3 linked regions of the Caenorhabditis elegans genome follow. The protein of the gene in region 1 purifies or fractionates together with the protein of each later gene. This does not show direct contact. Each region holds a gene or a part of one and is shown in the gene's direction. Other genes may lie near its edges.

The links.
Region 2: the proteins of nspg-10 (region 1) and hrg-11.2 fractionate together in Caenorhabditis elegans (co-fractionation; one large-scale study listed by BioGRID). This does not show direct contact.
Region 3: the proteins of nspg-10 (region 1) and irg-7 fractionate together in Caenorhabditis elegans (co-fractionation; one large-scale study listed by BioGRID). This does not show direct contact.

The regions. Positions count from the first base shown.
Region 1 is NC_003282.8:4,602,940-4,609,260, forward strand, and holds nspg-10 (uncharacterized protein), read left to right. Parts: upstream 1-2,846; 5' UTR 2,847-2,950; coding exon 2,951-2,975; intron 2,976-3,027; coding exon 3,028-3,127; intron 3,128-3,893; coding exon 3,894-3,992; intron 3,993-4,041; coding exon 4,042-4,199; intron 4,200-4,250; coding exon 4,251-4,447; intron 4,448-4,494; coding exon 4,495-4,582; intron 4,583-4,962; coding exon 4,963-5,028; intron 5,029-5,083; coding exon 5,084-5,151; 3' UTR 5,152-5,278; downstream 5,279-6,321. Other genes in the region: F19C7.4 (Serine protease K12H4.7), read left to right, coding at 168-380, 597-1,180, 1,407-1,515, 1,565-1,660, 1,705-1,816, 1,868-1,970, 2,028-2,374, 2,611-2,675; col-110 (Nematode cuticle collagen N-terminal domain-containing protein), read right to left, coding at 5,355-5,415, 5,531-6,107, 6,159-6,279.
Region 2 is NC_003284.9:3,231,946-3,238,475, reverse strand, and holds the start of hrg-11.2 (C-type LECtin), read left to right. Parts: upstream 1-3,067; 5' UTR 3,068-3,069; coding exon 3,070-3,249; intron 3,250-3,294; coding exon 3,295-3,406; intron 3,407-3,455; coding exon 3,456-4,078; intron 4,079-4,122; coding exon 4,123-4,183; intron 4,184-4,228; coding exon 4,229-4,399; intron 4,400-4,543; coding exon 4,544-4,615; intron 4,616-4,658; coding exon 4,659-4,850; intron 4,851-4,941; coding exon 4,942-5,059; intron 5,060-5,114; coding exon 5,115-5,235; intron 5,236-5,288; coding exon 5,289-5,432; intron 5,433-5,476; coding exon 5,477-6,530. Other genes in the region: Protein irg-7, read left to right, coding at 1-180, 230-347, 393-531, 578-709, 762-948, 996-1,339, 1,401-1,557, 1,601-1,746 and 4 more.
Region 3 is NC_003284.9:3,239,824-3,246,388, reverse strand, and holds the start of irg-7 (Protein irg-7), read left to right. Parts: upstream 1-2,752; 5' UTR 2,753-2,764; coding exon 2,765-2,944; intron 2,945-2,987; coding exon 2,988-3,099; intron 3,100-3,153; coding exon 3,154-3,776; intron 3,777-3,822; coding exon 3,823-3,883; intron 3,884-3,948; coding exon 3,949-4,119; intron 4,120-4,166; coding exon 4,167-4,238; intron 4,239-4,284; coding exon 4,285-4,476; intron 4,477-4,524; coding exon 4,525-4,642; intron 4,643-4,691; coding exon 4,692-4,812; intron 4,813-4,858; coding exon 4,859-5,002; intron 5,003-5,048; coding exon 5,049-6,565. Other genes in the region: F40F4.7 (N-terminal methionine N(alpha)-acetyltransferase NatE), read left to right, coding at 622-942, 1,529-1,731, 1,868-1,955, 1,998-2,123.

The DNA.
Region 1 (6,321 bases):
CGTTTTCTTTTTTTTTGAACTGTCTTGAACGTTGTTTCTAAAAATTGGAGCTTTTTTGAGTATAAAAGTTATGTGTTAAACGGCTATAAAAAATTCGTCCACTACGTTGTCCCATAGTTGTCTTTTGACATACAATACCGTTAAAAAATTTCCAATTATTTTCCAGAATGTCTCGGGTCTTATGCCTCGTAGCTATCTCAATTGGGCTCACAATATGCCACGTTTCACCTCCAATGGTCGTTGGAAGGCCTCGAGAAGGTCTATTGACGGGTGATCCCGCAGAAGGACCTACTACAGATGCAAAATATATGATTTACTCGAATATTACACAGAAAGTCGACCATTTCTCAAATGGAACAAATATTGGAGTTTGGCAACAGGTGAGTCCCCCTAGGTGTATGTGAAGCGTGACTTAGAAATATTAAAGCCCCTTTGCGTACTTGAACGAATTTGTTGACTCATCAAATGTATGATTTTTGTTCTGTTATCACTTTTAATCGGACAAAAATTAATAAGAATTTACAAAAACGTTCGGTGGAAAATACCGAAAAAAATCCCAAAGAGGCGTGTCTTGTGTCAAAAAAAAACCTCTTCAGCACTACCAATACAATTGGAAATTTTACAACAAAACAACTGGATACGTCTTCCTGATGATTGGTGGTGAAAGTTCCATCAATAAAACTAATGGAGATAGATGGATCCGTCATGAAGGAGAAACCATGATGAAATGGGTGGCAGAGTTCCAAGCCGCCGCTTTTCAAGTCGAGCACAGATTTTACGGATCTAAAGAATATTCCCCAATTGGAGATCAGACAACAGCGAGCATGAAGCTTTTGACAATTGATCAGGCACTTGCTGATATTAAAGAGTTTATTACTCAAATAAATGCACTTTATTTCAAAGATGACAAACCAATTTGGGTGACATTCGGAGGATCATATCCTGGATCATTGTCTGCTTTCTTTAGAGAAACATATCCAGAAATGACTGCAGGAGCAGTATCATCTTCTTCTGCTGTTCATGTATTTGTAGATTATTATGGATATGCTATTAATACTGAAAAGACTTATAGAACTGTTAGTGACTCCTGTGGAGATGTTATCAAGGTTGCATTCCAAAAGCTTATCACTAAAGCATATAATGGATCGGATAGCCGTGCACTTCTTAAACAACAATTCAAGTGGGTTTCATAAATAAAATATGTACCTAGTTTTTGAGAAAAAATGATTTTAATTTTAATATCATTGAAATCTCTCAAAAATTTGAGATTCTTAGCTTTTGTCAGTTTTGGCAGGATTTAGTTTCTTCCAGAATTATTTTTTTCACAAAAAGGACATACCTTTTTGGGAAGTTCTGAAAATACTATCACGAGCTTAACCAATATGTCCTAAATCCAATTTTTCCAGTCTTTGTGACAGCTTCGACGAGACGAATCTATCAAAAGCCGTGCAATTTTTTTTCCAAAATGTCTATGGATACTTTCAGATAATCAATCAATATACCGGAGATAATAAGGTTCATTATGAACATCTCTTCATTACTTCAAAAAACAACACAATTTTAGAGCAATGCTACACGATCCGGATTGGGAGTTCCTGCAGCTTGTGATCTTCTAAACAACGCGACAATTGGAGATGAGGTCCAGAGAGTTATTGCTGTAGTAGGTGTACCTCTACTAGTAGTGCACCTAATTTTAACTTCCAGATGAATCTTTATGATTCCTGGTTTAAGCCATCAGCGTCTGGATGCCGACCAAATAATTACACAGCTTTTATTCAAGCCTATTCGGACACTACAATGCCCAATGAGAACGTCAGTGAGTTTCCGAGTATTGTAAAGGTACTGTAGAATCGAATTGAAATTCCAGTTGGCACTCGCAGTTGGATCTGGCAGACTTGCACGGAGCTCGGATATTATCAGACTACTGACGGAGGAAATGGTGGAATCTTTGGATCTACAGTTCCACTTGAGTAAGAACAAACAAAACGTTAAAGCCAGGTAGTACTGTATTTTGAAAATATTTTCAGTTTCTTCGCCGATCAATGCATTGATCTCTTTGGGCCGGAATACACCCTGGATAATACTTTCAAACTCGTAGATCAAGTTCGTACTAAATACGGAGGAGCTGGCACATATCGTGGAACCAATGTCGTTTTTCCAAACGGATCCTTCGATCCTTGGAATGGTCTTGGCTACAAATGGAATAACACGAATAATAATGTTGATGCTTGGTTGATCGAAGGAACATCTCATTGTGCTGATATGTATCCAGCAAGCGATTCGGATAAACAATCATTGAAAGATGCGAGAATCCGGATTCATGGTCATTTATCCAGGTGGCTATCAGATGCACAGGCTATTAGGCAGCATTCAGGTAGGTTCATTTAAGAATGCCTCTTATTCAAATGGGTCTTGCCACGAAAAAATTGTATGTTAATAAGAATTATTCAGTTAAGAAAACATTAATCAAGTTTTTTTATTGATAAAATCACAGAAATTCCCACTTTTTCCTCGCGGCAATACCTTTTTTTCAATAAATACGTGGGCCTTTAAGTACGCAGATAACTGCAAACTCAAGATACTACACTTTCAATATTTATAGTTTTTCAGGTTCCACTACAAACTTCTCAATCTTCACCGCCATCTCCATTGTAATTTTCAGCATCCTATTCTAACTTTCAAAATATTATTTTTCAAATTTTATTCTAGAAATAATAAAAGTCCAATTTTGATTACATTTGCAAAATGACGTTGTGTGAACACACCCTGAAATTGCGTTTTCACCTCGCTAATAAGATGAAAGTGGTTGGAAGGGAGGAGTGCCTAATAAAATGAGTTGGATAGTGATAGGGAGCAGGCAAATATTCGCCGACGACGGTTTGCCGTCGTTATCAATCCCCGAGACGACTTTTTCAATTTGCCAGCCCTGCGTCACCATCACCTTTTCGGCATGAAGTTTGCCATCGTTTTTGCTGGTACGTAGATTTTATCGAACAAAGGTTTAAAAATAACTTTGGAGATTTTCAGCTCTTTACGGAGCCGCTGTTGCTCAATTCGGAACTGACAACTGTGTGAGCGCACAGTTTCAGGCTTGTAATAGCAAGTTAGGAGATTTTTGGAGAACTGAGTAAGTTTTACAAACGAAATTGTGACTAATTTTTTGAAAATCATGTGGTGTCAGAGTGTCTCATTTCACCTTGATCTACGTAGATCTACAAAACATGCGGGAGAAGAGACGCAAAGTTCTCAACTTATTTCGCATGGTTGAGAACGTGCTGAGGTCGCATTTTTTGTGCAAAAAATTCCCGTTTTTTTGTAGATCAAACCGTAATGGGACAGCTTGGCACTGCGAAAAAATTGCCGGGTGGAGTCGGTGAACACATATTTTTGAAAAGTATGCAAACACCGCCGCACAATTAAAACAAAATTTACATTTTAAAGTATAATTGATAATTTAAAAATTGTATTTCTATAGAAAATTGAAATTACCATAGACCGACATTTTAAGCTTTTCTACTTACTTTTTCAAATTTTTCACACATTTTTGCATTTAACTCTATGAACAATTTTTTGCTCTTATATACATAGTTATATACATAATAATTTGATCTTAATGTTAATTTTCTCAATCTTATGATGATATTAATATTCAAATTCCAATTGAGTAAAACTTCCACATATAAAATTTGCAAATCTAATGCGATTATGTTCTGATAAGGTCAGTAGCAACAGAACACACCTAGTATAGATATCAATACCTATAATGTGATCCGAGTAGTTCTAGAAGTAGATAAACACTATTATTTTCAGTCTACAAGTATTGATTTTAAAACTAGATACCTGAAATTGACCTTTAAATTGTTTTCACCCCGTCATTCAGAACATATTTTCAGCACCACCTCTGCCTGGAAGGACTTGGCGAGCTTGGACAGAATCACCCAGTCTCTCATCGTCTCCCCATATGTCATTGACTCATGGGTCAATGTTTGCAAGTAAGCCTTTCTTTTTAAAATCTTTAACTTTTCAATTCCGAAATTCCAGCGGTTACGCTGCCTTTTACGGATGCCTTGGACAAGCTCAAATCCGCAATTGCCTCGGAACCGTCGGACTCGTCGGATCTGGACTCGATCTTAACACCGCCTACGCTTACCAAGGATTCTTGGCCGACTGGGATTTCAAGTGTGGAGCCGGATTCTGGAGTAAGCGCCATTGATCTTTTAGCAGATTTTCAAATTTCGAACATTCTTCAGCTATGTACGAGCGTAAGACCCTGACCACTTGCGTCGAGAGCACCTACGTCAACTACCAACAAGAGACATCTGCCGCTATGAATACCTACATGACTGCCACCGCTCAAGACCCAAATGGTGCTTGCAAGTATGCTCAGAATCTCATGAACGCGTGGCAGAACACCTACACCAAGGGACCATGCCGTACAGTTATGCCAGTAAGTCTTAGCAATTGCTGAGCTAGAGAGAAAAAAGCTTTGTTCAGGCTCAAGCCGGATGGTTCGGATGCCAATCGGCTCGTGAATGGTCTAATGCTCAATTCAGACACTGCAAGCATACTACACAATGTGCATGTAAGTTTGAAAAAGTTTGCCTGCCCCAAGGCGACCTAGGATGGTCTGCAAGAGGGCCTAGACCTATCAGCATTGCTACTGATTGTGAGACTTGCATGCAATTGTATTCCTATTCACAAGGTTTCCTACAAGGTCACCTATGTCTGCCTACATGATTGCCTCTTGTTTTCTACAAGAATACCTAGGTTTGCCTAAGTTTACCTAGACAAACCTACAAGGTAATCTAGGCCTATCAACACGGTGACCTAGACCAGCCTACAATTTCACCTAGGTCTACCTACAAAGTTACCTCGGCATACTTACAAAGTTGCCTAAGCACGAGGCGGCCAAGTAGGCAAAATTAAACACCTACCTACCATACAAAACTTCAATATTTCCAGCTCCAACTTCCAACGAGGCTGTGACCAGATTCAACACTGAAACCGGAAAGGTTGAATATGAGACTCGTGAGTTTTATTTTTATTTTTCAGTTTTTTTTATCCCAAGTTCCAAAATTTCTAGTCCCTACCTACCAAATCGTCGACAATAAGGCCGTCGTCCTGAATGAGGCCTCCTGGATTTCCGAGTAATTTTGATTTTTTAATTTTTGAAATAATTATAATTTTCTTTCATTCCTTTTACCTGTCTATCATGAACTTTTTTGGGTTGAATCACACATACACAATCAGTCTGATAAAGTAAACCAATAACTATTTATTGCACTTCACGTTTCACTAAAAAGCACCTTTCAAAGCAAATAAGAGAGACCGACAGAGAAATTGAGAAAAATCAGTTAAGTTCTGCGGCGGCGGGATCCGCTGTCAAAGAAGACTCCTCCGTCGATGGCACAGTACCTGGAATTTTTCGTGTAAATTTATCATTTCTGCAGGCCTAGGTAATCATGCAGGCATTCCTAGGTAACCTTGAAATCAGGTCAAGGTAATCATGTAGGCCGGCCTACCAACTTACTTTGGGCAGATCCCCTCCTCTCCCGGTCTTCCTTGAATTCCAGCTTCTCCGAGATCTCCATCATTTCCATTTTCTCCATCCACTCCATCTTTTCCTGGTGGTCCCGGTGGTCCAACTTGTCCTGGTTTACCATCTCTTCCATCATTTCCAGGTTGTCCGGCTTCTCCTGATTGTCCCTCATCTCCATCATCCCCAGGTGGTCCAACATCGGAAGTATCAACCTCCCCAGGTTCTCCATCAGCTCCGTCTTCTCCCTTTGTCCCTGGAACTCCGTCGATTCCAGTTTTTCCAGGCCTTCCCGGACGTCCATCCAGCCCATCGAATCCACGTCGCCCCTTCAATCCAGGCAATCCATTGTTACCTGGTGACCCACGGGGTCCCGGCTCTCCCGGCTCTCCAGCTGGACAGTCACATGGGCTTGCAAGTGTTGGATCACATGGACCTCTCGGTGGCTCTCCAGGATTTCCTGGTCTTCCAGGTGCTCCAGGAGCTCCGTGGCGTCCATGTCTTCCTGGGGTTCCGCTGGGGCCTGGAGCTCCAGGAATACAACAGCCATCACAGGTTCCTGTGGTTTCATCTGAACAGTTTGAGAGTTTTTAAAAAGTACAGATTCGGGGAAAAAGTAAACCTTCATCAAATCGTCTCCTGGGTTTTGCTCCTCGGATGCTTCTGGTGTGGTTCGAGGTGGCAATCAGTACGGATAGCTCGTCAACACCTTCGTAGATTGTTCTCACAACATCGTTGCATTCCTGAGATGAGAGTTTTAAGTATAGGACCCACACAACCTTTAG
Region 2 (6,530 bases), on another chromosome or scaffold:
AACCCAACGTCCCACAATTGTTCAGTAATGATAGAAAATCATTGCTCATGGTCGTGGAAACAACAAGGCAAAACTCTGACACTGTCAATCAGCTCATTGCCAATCTGAAGAACATTGTTTCAGCGGTAACGAATAATATGCCACTTTGGTTCACCAATTTCGGACTTGTTACTTTTGATAGTAAGCATATTATTCTTGTCCTCTGATACATATCAGTTGTAATTTTCAGCCACTGGAAGAACATTTGAAAAATTCGACTACACTTCCATCGATGATCTTATCACCGATCTCACCACACAATCTAACGCCATTTCTACTGATGGAGTTTGCAGTATGCCATATCTCGGGTAATCTAGTTTTTCACTAATTTTTTGTATGGTTTTAACGTTCAGAGTTCTTGCGCATCTTCTGGAACATGATGATGTTATTGCTATGCCGAATAGTGAAATTTTCTTGGTCACTCCTGCTGGACCAAGTGACCTCGGAAACTATGTTGAAACTATGGAAGTTTTGTTTAACACTCAAGCACACGTAAGTAACAGCTAACTCGATGAATCATACATGTTCGAATTTTCAGTTGCACTATGTCGTCTCCAAGACCGCAAACTGTGCAACATTCGATGGTGTCAATAATGTCAGAGACATGACATGGCTTGGATACGGATCAAGCGGAAACATCTTGTTCACTGATCCTGCAAACATTGTCAACGTGAGTGTAGCATTGTTTATCAACTAGTTAGCACAATATATCAATTTTACAGCTTTTCAATTCTTATCTTCCAACTCTGTACGGAGCTTCAGTTCTTCAAGATCCTACCGGCATCACGAACTACACCTGTTCCGATGGATCTCTTCCTTGGTTTGTGCCAGTTGATATCAACACAACATTTATCTACGTCACCACTTCTGCCGAGTTTGGTTCACTTTCTGTCAAGGATCCTCTTGGAGGTTAGTCGTTTTTTTTTAAATATTATCAACACCTCGACTTGTTTCAGCGGCTCACAGTGCTACCCCAGTTTACAACGTGAATGATCAAAAGATCTACGCAATTGAAGTAGACAGACTTGGAGGAATCTGGACACTCCAACTTGTTCAGCCTCCAGGATTGTGCCTTGCACATGTCTATTCAACTGGTGGAGCGAAGGTCTACACAAAGTTCTCGATGCCAAACCCAATCGGAGGAAAGCCTGATCCACTTGGTTCACATCAGGATGGACGTTTCGTACAACCAACAGCTGGTTTTGACAATGTCGCTGTTTTCCATCTTGCTGGCAATCCATTCCACAGAGGACAATTGCAGTATGTAGAAATCTTCGATATTGGAGCTAACTCAATCACAGTAAGCAACATTAAAATTGTCCCTTCACAAGAGAATAAACTCAGAAGTGATAAAATTTCAGAACATTCTCCGATCAGAGCTCTACGTTCGAGCAGGCTGCTCTTACGAGTACTACTCTGATTTGTTCACTTGCAACGGCGACATGATTGCCGTCTATGTTCATGGAGTTGATGAAGCAAACCAAAAGTTCAGAAGACAAGAAATTGTCATCTGCAATGGTAATATACGCTTACTTGTTTAATTGTGCAAGAAATTTTTCAGGACGTAGCCCAACAACCAACCAGCCAGCAACAGGAACAATTGGCCCAATCACCATGCCAACTCAACAAACCGCGCTGACTCAAGGTCCAGTAACTCAGCAAACTCAAGTCCCAGGAACTCAACCAACTCAGGGACCAGTCGCCACGGTAAATTTCAAGTATTACTGGTGATTTAGAAATTCTGAACTTACAGACCCAAAATCCATACACATCCGCTCAGTTTGATGTTGTATTTATGATCGATGGATCACAAAGTGCACAATCCAGCTTTGACTCGGTATACATTATATGCCCTTTATGTTTCCATCATATGAATTTCAGCTCACCAAATTTGTTCAAACATTCATGGTTTCGTTCAATGTTGGCCAGAGTGGAGCTCGTGTTGGATTAATTGTCGTCGGAGGTGATATCACAAACCCAATTCCTCCTGCTGCCAATCTGAACTCCCTCTCCTCTCAAGCAATGTTGAACTCTAACTTGGCCCAACTCAGCGGTGGCTACACTGACTTTGAAGACGCCGGGCAAATTCTTAACTACACTCTTCAAATTGTGTCTTCTCCCGATTTCATGGCGGCGAACAATGGTTACCGTAGTGGCATTAGCAACCATGTGTTGATCTACCTTACTACAACTACTGCGTAAGTGTTCAAAAGATTGCCAGATAAAATTAATATTTTTTAGCTTCGACACCGATCCAACTCCGGCAGCTCAGACAATTCTCGCGCAGAAGCAATACGGAATCATCACTATTGGTTATGGTGGCGCGACTGATAACAACAAGTTGCAAACTATTTCCGGAGGAAGTGCTTGCTCGTTTACAGCTCCAGATTTTGCTAGTTTGAATAACCAAATTAAGACCATTCAGCAACTTATCCTCAATGCCAAGTAAGATATATAAGTGTGTTCATTAAGTGAAATGTTCTTATTTTCAGCGCCAATGGAGGTGTCTACTGTATCAACAACTAAGGCAGTCGACCCGGAAATCACTGAAATAATTTGAATTTTAATAAACTTATCATTATTTAACAATTTATGTGTTGGACCGAAAAATCAAAATTACGAGAGAAAAAATATAATACAAAAGTGAAATGTGATGGCAATTCAATAAACTTTACTAGTGGTTGAACTTCAAGTCGAAATCATCAGAAAGTGCTTGATAATAATTTGATGATACAAAATCGTATTCTGTGACATTATTCTGCTACTACTCAATTAGAATGCAAAGGGCGTGGAATAAATTTTAATACTGTTTGAGATGGCAAAGATAAGAGTTTGCCACGGTGATATGACGTGCCGGACACACTCTCCTTTTGCGATTAAAAAGGGTTTAAATCATTATTTCATGATAATTTCATTAGATTTGCCAGGCTGCTCCTGCCTTTTCACATTCATTTTCAGAACTCAATACCTTTTACGATATTTAGTTTTTTTGGAGTTTAAGAGCAATTAAATTAATGTGAAATTTCAGTAATGAGAAGCTGGGTTTTGATTGCGGCGTTAGCCGTGATCTGCCTGGGCGCTGAGCCTGAGCTCAGTCACAAAGAGAGAATCCGCAAAGTCTTAAAGTCATGGAACCCGGCCAACAGTAATCAACTCTTCCACCCAGTCAGTGAACAGAAGATTCAATTCGATGAGCAGTCCGATCTCTTTGTAAGTTCTAGATTTCGTTTAACTATGTTCCATATATGGTTTCAGGTTGATACTCATCATATCTCCAAAAGATCTATCGCCGAGCCTCATGTTTTTGCTGGAATGGCCACCAGAGGATGTAACAAGCCAGGATACACAGGAGCCACCTGTCAATATCGTAAGTCGGATCACATATGTGTTTTTAAACTAAAAATGCAATTTCTTAGCATTGTGCTCTGCTCGCAATCCTTACATTCCTGATAACAAGGATTCTGACGATATCTCTATTGATGCAACAAATCTTGCAAACTGCAGTCAAACATACGTCGTTGTTGTTGATGAGACCATGCGGAATATCAAAATTGAGGTCGAAACTGAGTCACCATTGAATCCAACTTTCTACCTCCAATCTGAGAGTGGAGATCTGATCTTCCCTGACACTGACAGAAAAACCGTAACTTCCTATGTGGCAACATATGAGACTTTAGCGCCAGGCCAGTATCTTCTCGGACCAAGAGCTGATTCTGGAGATGAATTTTGTACTATGATGATGACCGCTCATACCAATATTCAAGTTACTGGAGGTTTTACATCAGGCGATCAACCAGAGCGCAGCGACTATCCAACCCTCAAGTTTGCCTATTTTGACACTGAATCAGCTGTTGTTCTTCATGCACAAGGACTACACTTTCCCGGTCAAATTCAGGCGATTGGATTCACTGGCGCCGAGAACCATATCTCAAGATACATTCCTATGGCAACTCGCTTCAATTGTACTTATCCATATATTTTGGAGAGGTATACTTGCAGAAAAATTGGAAATAACGATATTGGGCACAATTTATTACAGGTAAGTGCAATGAATTGATATAAATTGCAATCATAAAAGTTCAGGTTGAAGGAATGAGCGATAACGGATACGTTTTCCGTCGTATTCTGCCCTACCAATGTATTTGTAAGTGAACGTAGTTGACAACAATAATCAACCTGAGTAATTTAGTGCCACCAGTGTCTACCACCACTGTCCCTGCTCCAACAACAACCGCTGCTCCATTGACAACCTGCCAGAACGGAGGTCAAGTTTTGAAGGATTCCAGTGGTTCACCATACTGTTACTGTTTTGGACTATACACCGGACGTGACTGTTCTCAGATGTTGTGTGCTAATGGAGGTGAATACTGTAACTAGAGCTGTTAAATAGAAAACGCTATGTTGCCATTGATGTGCTACATGGTTGATAACACAAAGACAACCTTCTAAAAAGGACACTTTTTTGAGCCAGCCTAAATTGGTCATCAAATATTTTATTTTTCAGGATTCCTTCCAACTCCCACAAGCGAACATTGTGAATGTCCAGAAGGATTCACCGGTTTCCACTGTCAAAATAGTAAGTCGCCTCGGAAAATAAACTGATCACAAATGCATTACAGTTGTCTGCCCTGGTGCATCCGGAATTGATTTCAATGCTGAAAACCCGACTGTTACTCTGGTCATTCGTTCTAGAAGCCAATTGTCAGATGTTATTCAACAGGCCACAAATTCAGTTTCAAGAATTGTCGATGAACTATCTGCCGAGCCTGGCTATCTCACTAATTTCATCGTTGTGCTCTTTGATAACGCCAGTGAGTTGATTTGCAACTAATTTACCGGGGTGGCTCCCATAAGCCTACCTTCTTATCAGGAAACGGTAATGCATTATATTTTAATTTTTAGAGCTTTTGGTAAACCAGAGATATGACTCATGGGATGCCGCTATGGTTGATCTACTTAAAGCGATTAACTCTGCCCCATCCGACGGTGGATGTGATGATGTTGTTTTCTCTGCTGTTGCGTAAGTATCGACTAGTTTTTCAATGTTTTACAGAATCTTCATGGTTGTTTTACAGATCTGCTCTTTCTCTTTATCCAACTAACAAATCACCAATCTATGTAATCACTGATGCCAATCCAAATGATAGCACTGAGAAGCAAACAATTGTACACTTGGAATCTTATTGGAGAGCACCAGTATGGAAAATTTATTAAATTTAAAGTTATTCGAAAATACCAGAATGTTTCAGGTCTACTTCATTTACGTGCAACCAGCAATTGGAAGTGGCTGCAATACTTCACCCGATAGTGCTGGGTACAGAGATATGGTCGATATGGCTGCGATGTCCAGCGGAAACACGTTCTACTTTAACAACAGAACCACTATCTCCAACGTATGTTTCTTTAATTCTTTAATATTAATGCATTATATTTTAAGTTCTTCTACGTTCATATGTACAACACGTTGTTCCGCTCTCAACTTGCTCTATCTGGAGATTACTCTCACTGTGCTAATCAAAACATCTACAAATCGGTTGCAGTTGACGTGACTGCTGATCAAGTTGTCGTTGTTGCTACAGGATCTAACTTGAAACTTCAAGTCACAACCCCAACCGGAGCACACCCTGACTTCTTTGTTGCATTCAATGATGGTGTTAACTACATTTGGACCTCCAACCAAATCTTCGCTGGACAATGGTTCTTCAATTTGGTTTCCGACTCACCAAACTCTGCGTGTACCTTCAAAGTATACCAGAAGAAGTATAACCTTGGTGGAATGAGCCAATACAATCCAGACTATGACATTTTCTGGTCTTTCGCAACTACCCTCACTTCTGCAGCCGGAGTTCTCCGCCAACCAGTTGCTGGTTTTGATGCTTCTCCTGTTTTCCATGTTTCCAACTACCCCGAATTCATTTCTATGGACCGCGTGCACGCCAATCTTCAGATTTATGCTATCCGCGACGGAGTTCAAACAGAGGTTTACGGATCAAGTGGAATGTACAGAGATGCTTGTGAATTCCACTTCTACTTCCCACCATTCATCTGTAATGTCCCCGATGAAGTTCTTTACTTCAACTTCTTCGCTCGTGATAACAATGATATGGCTCTCCAACGTGCTGGAACAATGCTCTGTTCGGCTGTTCATCCAACACCACCACCACAACATCAATGCCAAAACGGAGGAGTTATGAATCCAACCAACACGACATGCTTCTGTACTCCACAATTTACTGGAACGTACTGCCAGAACATTGTTTGCTACAACGGAGGAACTGTTAGTGGAGGACAGTGTGTATGCCCGCCTGGATACGCAGGTGAAAGCTGTGAGGTGCCAAGATGTATTGAAACTGGACCAAATCCTGAATTCATCCGTTACGGAGTTGACATGGTGTTCGCTGTCGAAATTACTCAGCAATCTCTTGCTTCAATTGTCATGCTTGACAATAACTTCCAAGAAATTCTCCGCGACGTTCAAATGCAAGATCGCG
Region 3 (6,565 bases), on another chromosome or scaffold:
CGACAAACTTCCTTAATGAAGTTCAACACCAATAAAATTTAATTTGAAATCTTTCGTGTTCGACCGCGCCCATCATTCTTTCCAGGTGATTCGTTTTTTGTTAGACGAATCAACCTGACTCATACATATGTCTTGCAATAAAAAAATTTCTATGACGTTATTAAACATCAAACATAAATAAATGAATATATATTTTAATTGAACTTGTAAGGGATTTAAGTTTTCGTGTTAATTTTTTTTTGAATTCTTGTGTTAATAAACTATTTTTTATACTTCCGATTTTATTTTAAACAAAAGCCACCACGAGGTGGCCGTCGTCACCTGCCTCTTAACACATGTGTTCTCTTCTCGTCTCCTCTCTTTCCCGGCTAGTCACATTAGTTTCGTATGTACAAACGACGCTCCGCAACGCTAAACAGAGGGCGATTGTTTTGAATAAACACAATTTGCGCGCGGTTATCCTCCGTGTTTTACTAACCAATGCTCATTGTTCTTTCTGTTTCTGCTAGCCTCTTATTTATTTCGGTGTCATGTAAGTGATTTCTTGTCTCTTCTTCAATTCCTTCAGTTTTTTCTATATTATTCTTCAAACGTCAAAACTTTTTTTTCAGCCACCGCAAAATGAACGATCAGCAGACCAACAACGAGTCAGACCACACGATGAGTAAAAGTGCCAAGAAAAGAGCCAAGAAGCAACAGCAGCAGAAAAGAGCATCCGAGAGTAACGATGAAAAGAATAGCCCAACAAAAAGCGATGCAGAAAATACCGAAGCAGTGAGCACACCCGAAAAAGTTTCCGATTCAGTTGAGCCAGAGAAGCAGGATCAAGTTGATCAACTGGTGCCATTGATTAATAAATTTGACGTGAATGGAAAAGCACTGAAAACAATTGCCGGTCATGGGACAGTTCATTTGGGAGAAATTACGCCGCACAACATTTTGGTGAGAATTTATTAATTTGTTGAAGGAAATGTATGTTATGAAACGAACTAGAATTCATAATATTAAATGAAACCCATATTTTCTCGATCAATGTGAATATGATGTAGCCTTAATTTTTGCGTCTTAAAAAATTGAATATTACTCTTGCACGCAGTGAATGTGAGCCCACTCAATAAAATTCTGTTCCGATTTATATATATTCTGTGAATGGCTAAAAAAGCAAACCTAGGCCGACTTTGCTGTTCATTTTTGAAGCTTTCAACATTGCCCTGTATTCTGTACCTGTGAAAATTGTGTAAATTGGCATAGAATGAGCTGTTAAAATACGTTGTAGCCTACCGAGCATGTCAGACAAGTAGTTGAACTCAAAGTTTGCTGAAGCACACTCAAAGTTTGCTGAAGGTCTTCACTCACTCTTGAACCAAACAGATGATTTTAACCTCCACCTTTTAAATTTAATTTAGCCTTCCCATTTTCATCAGTAAAACGCGATTTCTGAAATCCTATTTGTTTTTCAAACCTCAACAAAAAATACACGAACTTCATAAAACTCGAAACTCGATTTTTCAATTTACTATAATTTCAGCAACTGAAAAAGCTCAATGAAGATGTCTTCCCAATTGCCTACAACGACAAGTTCTATGTGGAAGCTCGATATTGCGGAGAACTTGGACGTCTTGCCTACTACAACGATGTCGTCGTGGGCGCCGTGTGCTGTCGCATTGACGATATTTCAGACGAGAAGTCGTTGTATCTCATGACACTTGGAACCCTTGCCGCCTACCGACAGTGAGTTTTGAGTCAGATCAAATTTACCTTATCAATGACGTTTTTTTGGTACAGTTCTACCTGAAAATGACGGTTTTAATAGCGTTAATTATTATACCAAGGGCGTTTTACGAGGTAATAAAATGTGCTATTTCAGAATCGGTATTGGTACAATTCTCATCGACTACGCATTAAAATTGTGCAATAAGATGGAAGAAATTAAGACCATGTACTTACATGTGCAGGTATCCAGAAAAAAGTGGATCTGAAAAAAAGTAATTTTCCAGGTCAACAACAAAAATGCGGTGCAATTCTATGAGAAGCATGGCTTCACCAATGACGGAATTATCGAGGACTACTATCGTATTAGCCCAAGAGACGCTTACTTGCTCATCAAACGAATCCGCCACTAAACTAGAATAGCTCATTTTGATATACAATATCTGAACTGTTTCCCTTTTCAAAATTACTTTATTTTTATCATAGCGACTGGTGGCATCCAAGCCTGGTCTGCAAGTTGGATCTCTAGCCATTGACAATTGCCAGCATGGTTGTTTTGTCTTCTTTCCCATCTTCAAGCATAACCGTGCCTACCCGTATGAAAACCATGTCTGTTTGAGATTTCCCATTTTTTCTATGCTTTATTTCATGTATCATCATTTTCAATTCTATTGACTTTTTGTTTTTTGGTAACTCTGGTAATTCGATTGTGAATTCTAAATGTCGAGGTTCTTTTATTGTCCGAGCAAATTTTATGTTTTGAATTTTGACTCATAAAAATGTAAGGCGTTTTATTGTTAACAAGAACATGAAAAATCAGGAGAGCCCGGGGGAAAATTTTATTATGCCCTTATGCATAGCATTGAAAGATAAGAAGTTGCCACGATGTTACGAGCGTGCCCAACCCATTTTCTTATTTAACGACTTTGATTGCTATAAGGTTTTCTTGATAGTACTTTTAGTCGCATTACTCCAGTGCTTCTTTTTCATTTTAAGCTGTTGATAATACCCCTTCAAGTTTGCTTCCAAAAAAACTAATATTTTTTATTTAGAAATGAGGAACTGGGTTTTGATTGCGGCCCTGGCCGTGATCTGCCTGGCGACTGAGCAGGAGCTCAGTCACAAGGACAGAATACGCGCGGTTTTGAGATCATGGAGTCCGGCATCGCAGAAGCAGTTTTTCGAGCCAGTCAGAGAGCAAAAGTACAGGACTATGGAAGAAAGGGTTATTTTTGTAAGGTCTAGCAAACAGGTGCGATTCGAATTTTTAATTTCAGTTGGACACCCATCATATTTCCAAAAGATCCATTGCTGAACCACACGTTTTGGCTGGAATGGCTACTCGAGGATGCAACAAGCCAGGGTACACCGGTGAAACTTGCCAATATCGTGAGTTTTAAGATTTATATTTCTAAAATGTTCCATGACGCAGAAATTTTTCAGCCCTCTGTTCTGCTCGCAACCCGTACATTCCGAACAACGACGGATTTGATGACATTGCAATTGATGCTTACAATCTGGCTAATTGCTCTGAATCATACATCGTCGTCGTTGACGAGACGATGCGGAATATCAAAATTGAAGTCGAGACGGCGTCAGCATTGAACCCAACATTCTATCTTCAAGCTGAAAATGGAGATCTCATATTCCCAGACGAATCCATTCAACTTCCAACAATGTTCACTGCAAATTATTTGCATCTGCCTCCCGGACAATATATGCTTGGACCACGAGCCGACACCAGCGAGCAGTTTTGTACAATGATGATGTCATCCCGCAGTAGCATTCATGTTTCCGGTGGATTCACTTCAGGAGATCAAGCCGAGCGTAGTGACTATCCAAATCTCAAGTTTACATATTTCGATACTGAGTCGGTTGTTGCAATTCATGCTCAAGGTTTGGACTTTCCTGGTCAAATCCAAGCAATTGGATTTACCGGTGCCGAGAACCACATCTCAAGATACATTCCAATGACAACCCGTTTCAACTGTACTTATCCATACATCTTGGAGAGATACACTTGCAGAAAAACCAGCAATAACGATGCTGGACACAATCTCATTCAAGTTCGATTGAACCAAAGGTGCTAAACATTCAAATTTTTGTTTTCAGGTGGAGGGTGTGACTAACTCTGGCTACAAGTTCCGTCGTATTGTTCCTTACCAATGCGTCTGTGAGTTTCTTTGTAGTGTATATAAGAAGTTTATATAAGACTTTTAAGAAAAAGTACCTTTTCAGTACCACCAGTAACAACTACTACCCCCGCTGTCCCGACAACACCTGCAGCACCGATAACTTCTTGTCAAAACGGAGGGCAGTTGCTTACTGACTCTAATGGAGTTGCATATTGTTATTGCTTTGGACTTTACTCTGGAAGTACTTGCTCGCAAATGCTCTGTGCTAACGGAGGTACAATTCATCCTTGAAATTATATATTTTTTATAATAACTATTAAGGTTTCTTGCCGACTCCAACCAGTGACCGTTGTCAATGCCCAGAAGGATTCAGTGGCTTCCATTGCCAGAATAGTATGCACTAGTAAAAATTATCTGTTAAAACATAATAACTTTGCAGTCTTGTGTACCGACATGTCAGGCTTTGACTTCAACGCTGAAAACCCAACTCTCACCCTTGTCATCCGATCAAGAAGCCAGCTCTCTGCAGTTATTGAACAAGCAACTGAGTCTGTTCAAAGTATTGTTGATCTTCTCGCTAGTGAACCTGGATATCTATCAAAGTTCATTGTTGTTCTTTTTGATAACGGAAGTGAGTTTTGATCTAAAACATATTTGACATGAAAGTGTATTATTTCAGAGCTCTTGGTGAACAGACAATATGATTCATGGGACGCTGCAATGGTCGATCTTACAAAAGCTATCCATTCCGCTCCAAGCGAAGGAGGATGTGATGATGTTGTCATGTCTGCTGTTGCGTAAGTTCACTGGTATGTAATAATGTTTAAAAATGCTAATTCATTACAGATCTGCACTTTCTCTCTATCCAACAAACAAATCCCCGATCTATGTGATTACGGACGCCACTCCAAATGATAGTGCTGAGAAGGAAACTGTGTTCCATCTGGAATCTTATTGGAGAGCACCGGTAAATAACATGAAAGCAAATAATGTTGACTCTATTTAAATTTCAGATCTACTTCATTTACGTTCAACCATCTCCAGCCGATGGATGTAACTCATCTCCAGATAACTCTGCATATAGAGATATGGTGGACATGGCTGCTCGTTCAAGTGGTAACACTTTCTATTTCAGCGACAGAAGCACTATTTCGACCGTAAGTCACTTCACTTTATATCTCCCATATCAATTAACTTTTATAGTTCTTCTACCGACACATGCTTAACACCTTGTTCCGATCCCAACTTGTTCTTTCCGGAGATTACTCACACTGCTCCAGCCAGAATCTGTACAAGTCAGCTGCCTTTGATCTTAGCGTTGACTACGTTACAATTGTAGCCACTGGAACAAATTTGACTCTAGTTGTGACAAGCCCAACAGGACAGTATCCAACTTTCAACACCGCCTTTTCTGATGGTGTGAACTATGTTTGGACGTATAACTCGCCAGTTGCTGGTCAATGGTTCTTCTCTATCAGATCACTTGAACCAGAAGCAGCTTGCACGTTTAAGGTTTATCAGAAGAAGTTCAACTTTGGCGGACAAACTCAATACAGCCCCGACTATGATATTTTCTGGTCATTCGCTTCTACTCTTACTTCGGCAGCAGGAGTTCTACGTCAGCCAGTTCTTGGATTTGATTCATCTCCAGTTTTCCATGTTACCAACTACCCTCAGTTCCTCTCAATGGACCGTGTGCATGCCAATCTTCAGATTTATGCTATTCGTGACGGAGTTCAAACCGAGGTTTACGGATCAAGTGGAATGTACAGAGATGCCTGTGAATTCAACTTCTACTTCCCACCATTCACTTGCCGTGTTCCAGAAGAAGTTCTTTACTTCAATTTCTTTGCTCGTGATAATAATGACATGGCTCTTCAACGTGCCGGAACTATGTTCTGTGCTGCCGTTCATCCTACCCCGCCACCAGATCATCAATGCCAAAATGGAGGAGTAATGAACCCATCGAACACCACTTGCTTCTGTACTCCGGAGTTCACAGGAACGTACTGTCAGAACATTATTTGTTACAATGGAGGAACAGCTAGCGGAGATCATTGCGTCTGCCCACCTGGTTACGCTGGTGAGAGCTGTGAGATGGCAAGATGTATTGAAACAGGACCAAATCCTGAATTCATCCGTTATGGAGTTGACATGGTGTTTGCCGTTGAAATCACTCAGAATTCTATTGCTTCACTTTCCATGCTCAATATCAACTTCCAAGAAATTCTCCGCGACGTTCTCATGCAAAATCGTGGATGGATTAGAAACTTTGTTCTGGTCGGTTTCAACTCTACATGGGGAGGACCAATTGCTGAATCACCAGCTGATAACCTCACTGCAATCACCACTGCTCTTCGCACTCTTGCTTCTTCAGTTCCAGCCGATACTGGATGTACTGTCAAACTTTGGGATGCTTTGAATTATGCCATTTTCTCCAGACAAATGGCACCGGGATCTTTTGTAGAAATCTTCCAAACCACTCCAGAAGATGATACTGATACTCGTTCGCTTGGTCTTTTCTATGATATGTCTAGAACAATGGAACTGGTTCTTTACGGTTTCTTGACTTCAAATCCACGTTTACAACCGGAAGGATTTGTTTGCAACGCCACCGTCGAAAACTATTATACTCTTCTCGGAATTGTCAGTGGATCTACCGGAACTACTTATAGCCTGCAAGCAAATGAAATTTCTAATGCTGTCAGACTCATTCCACT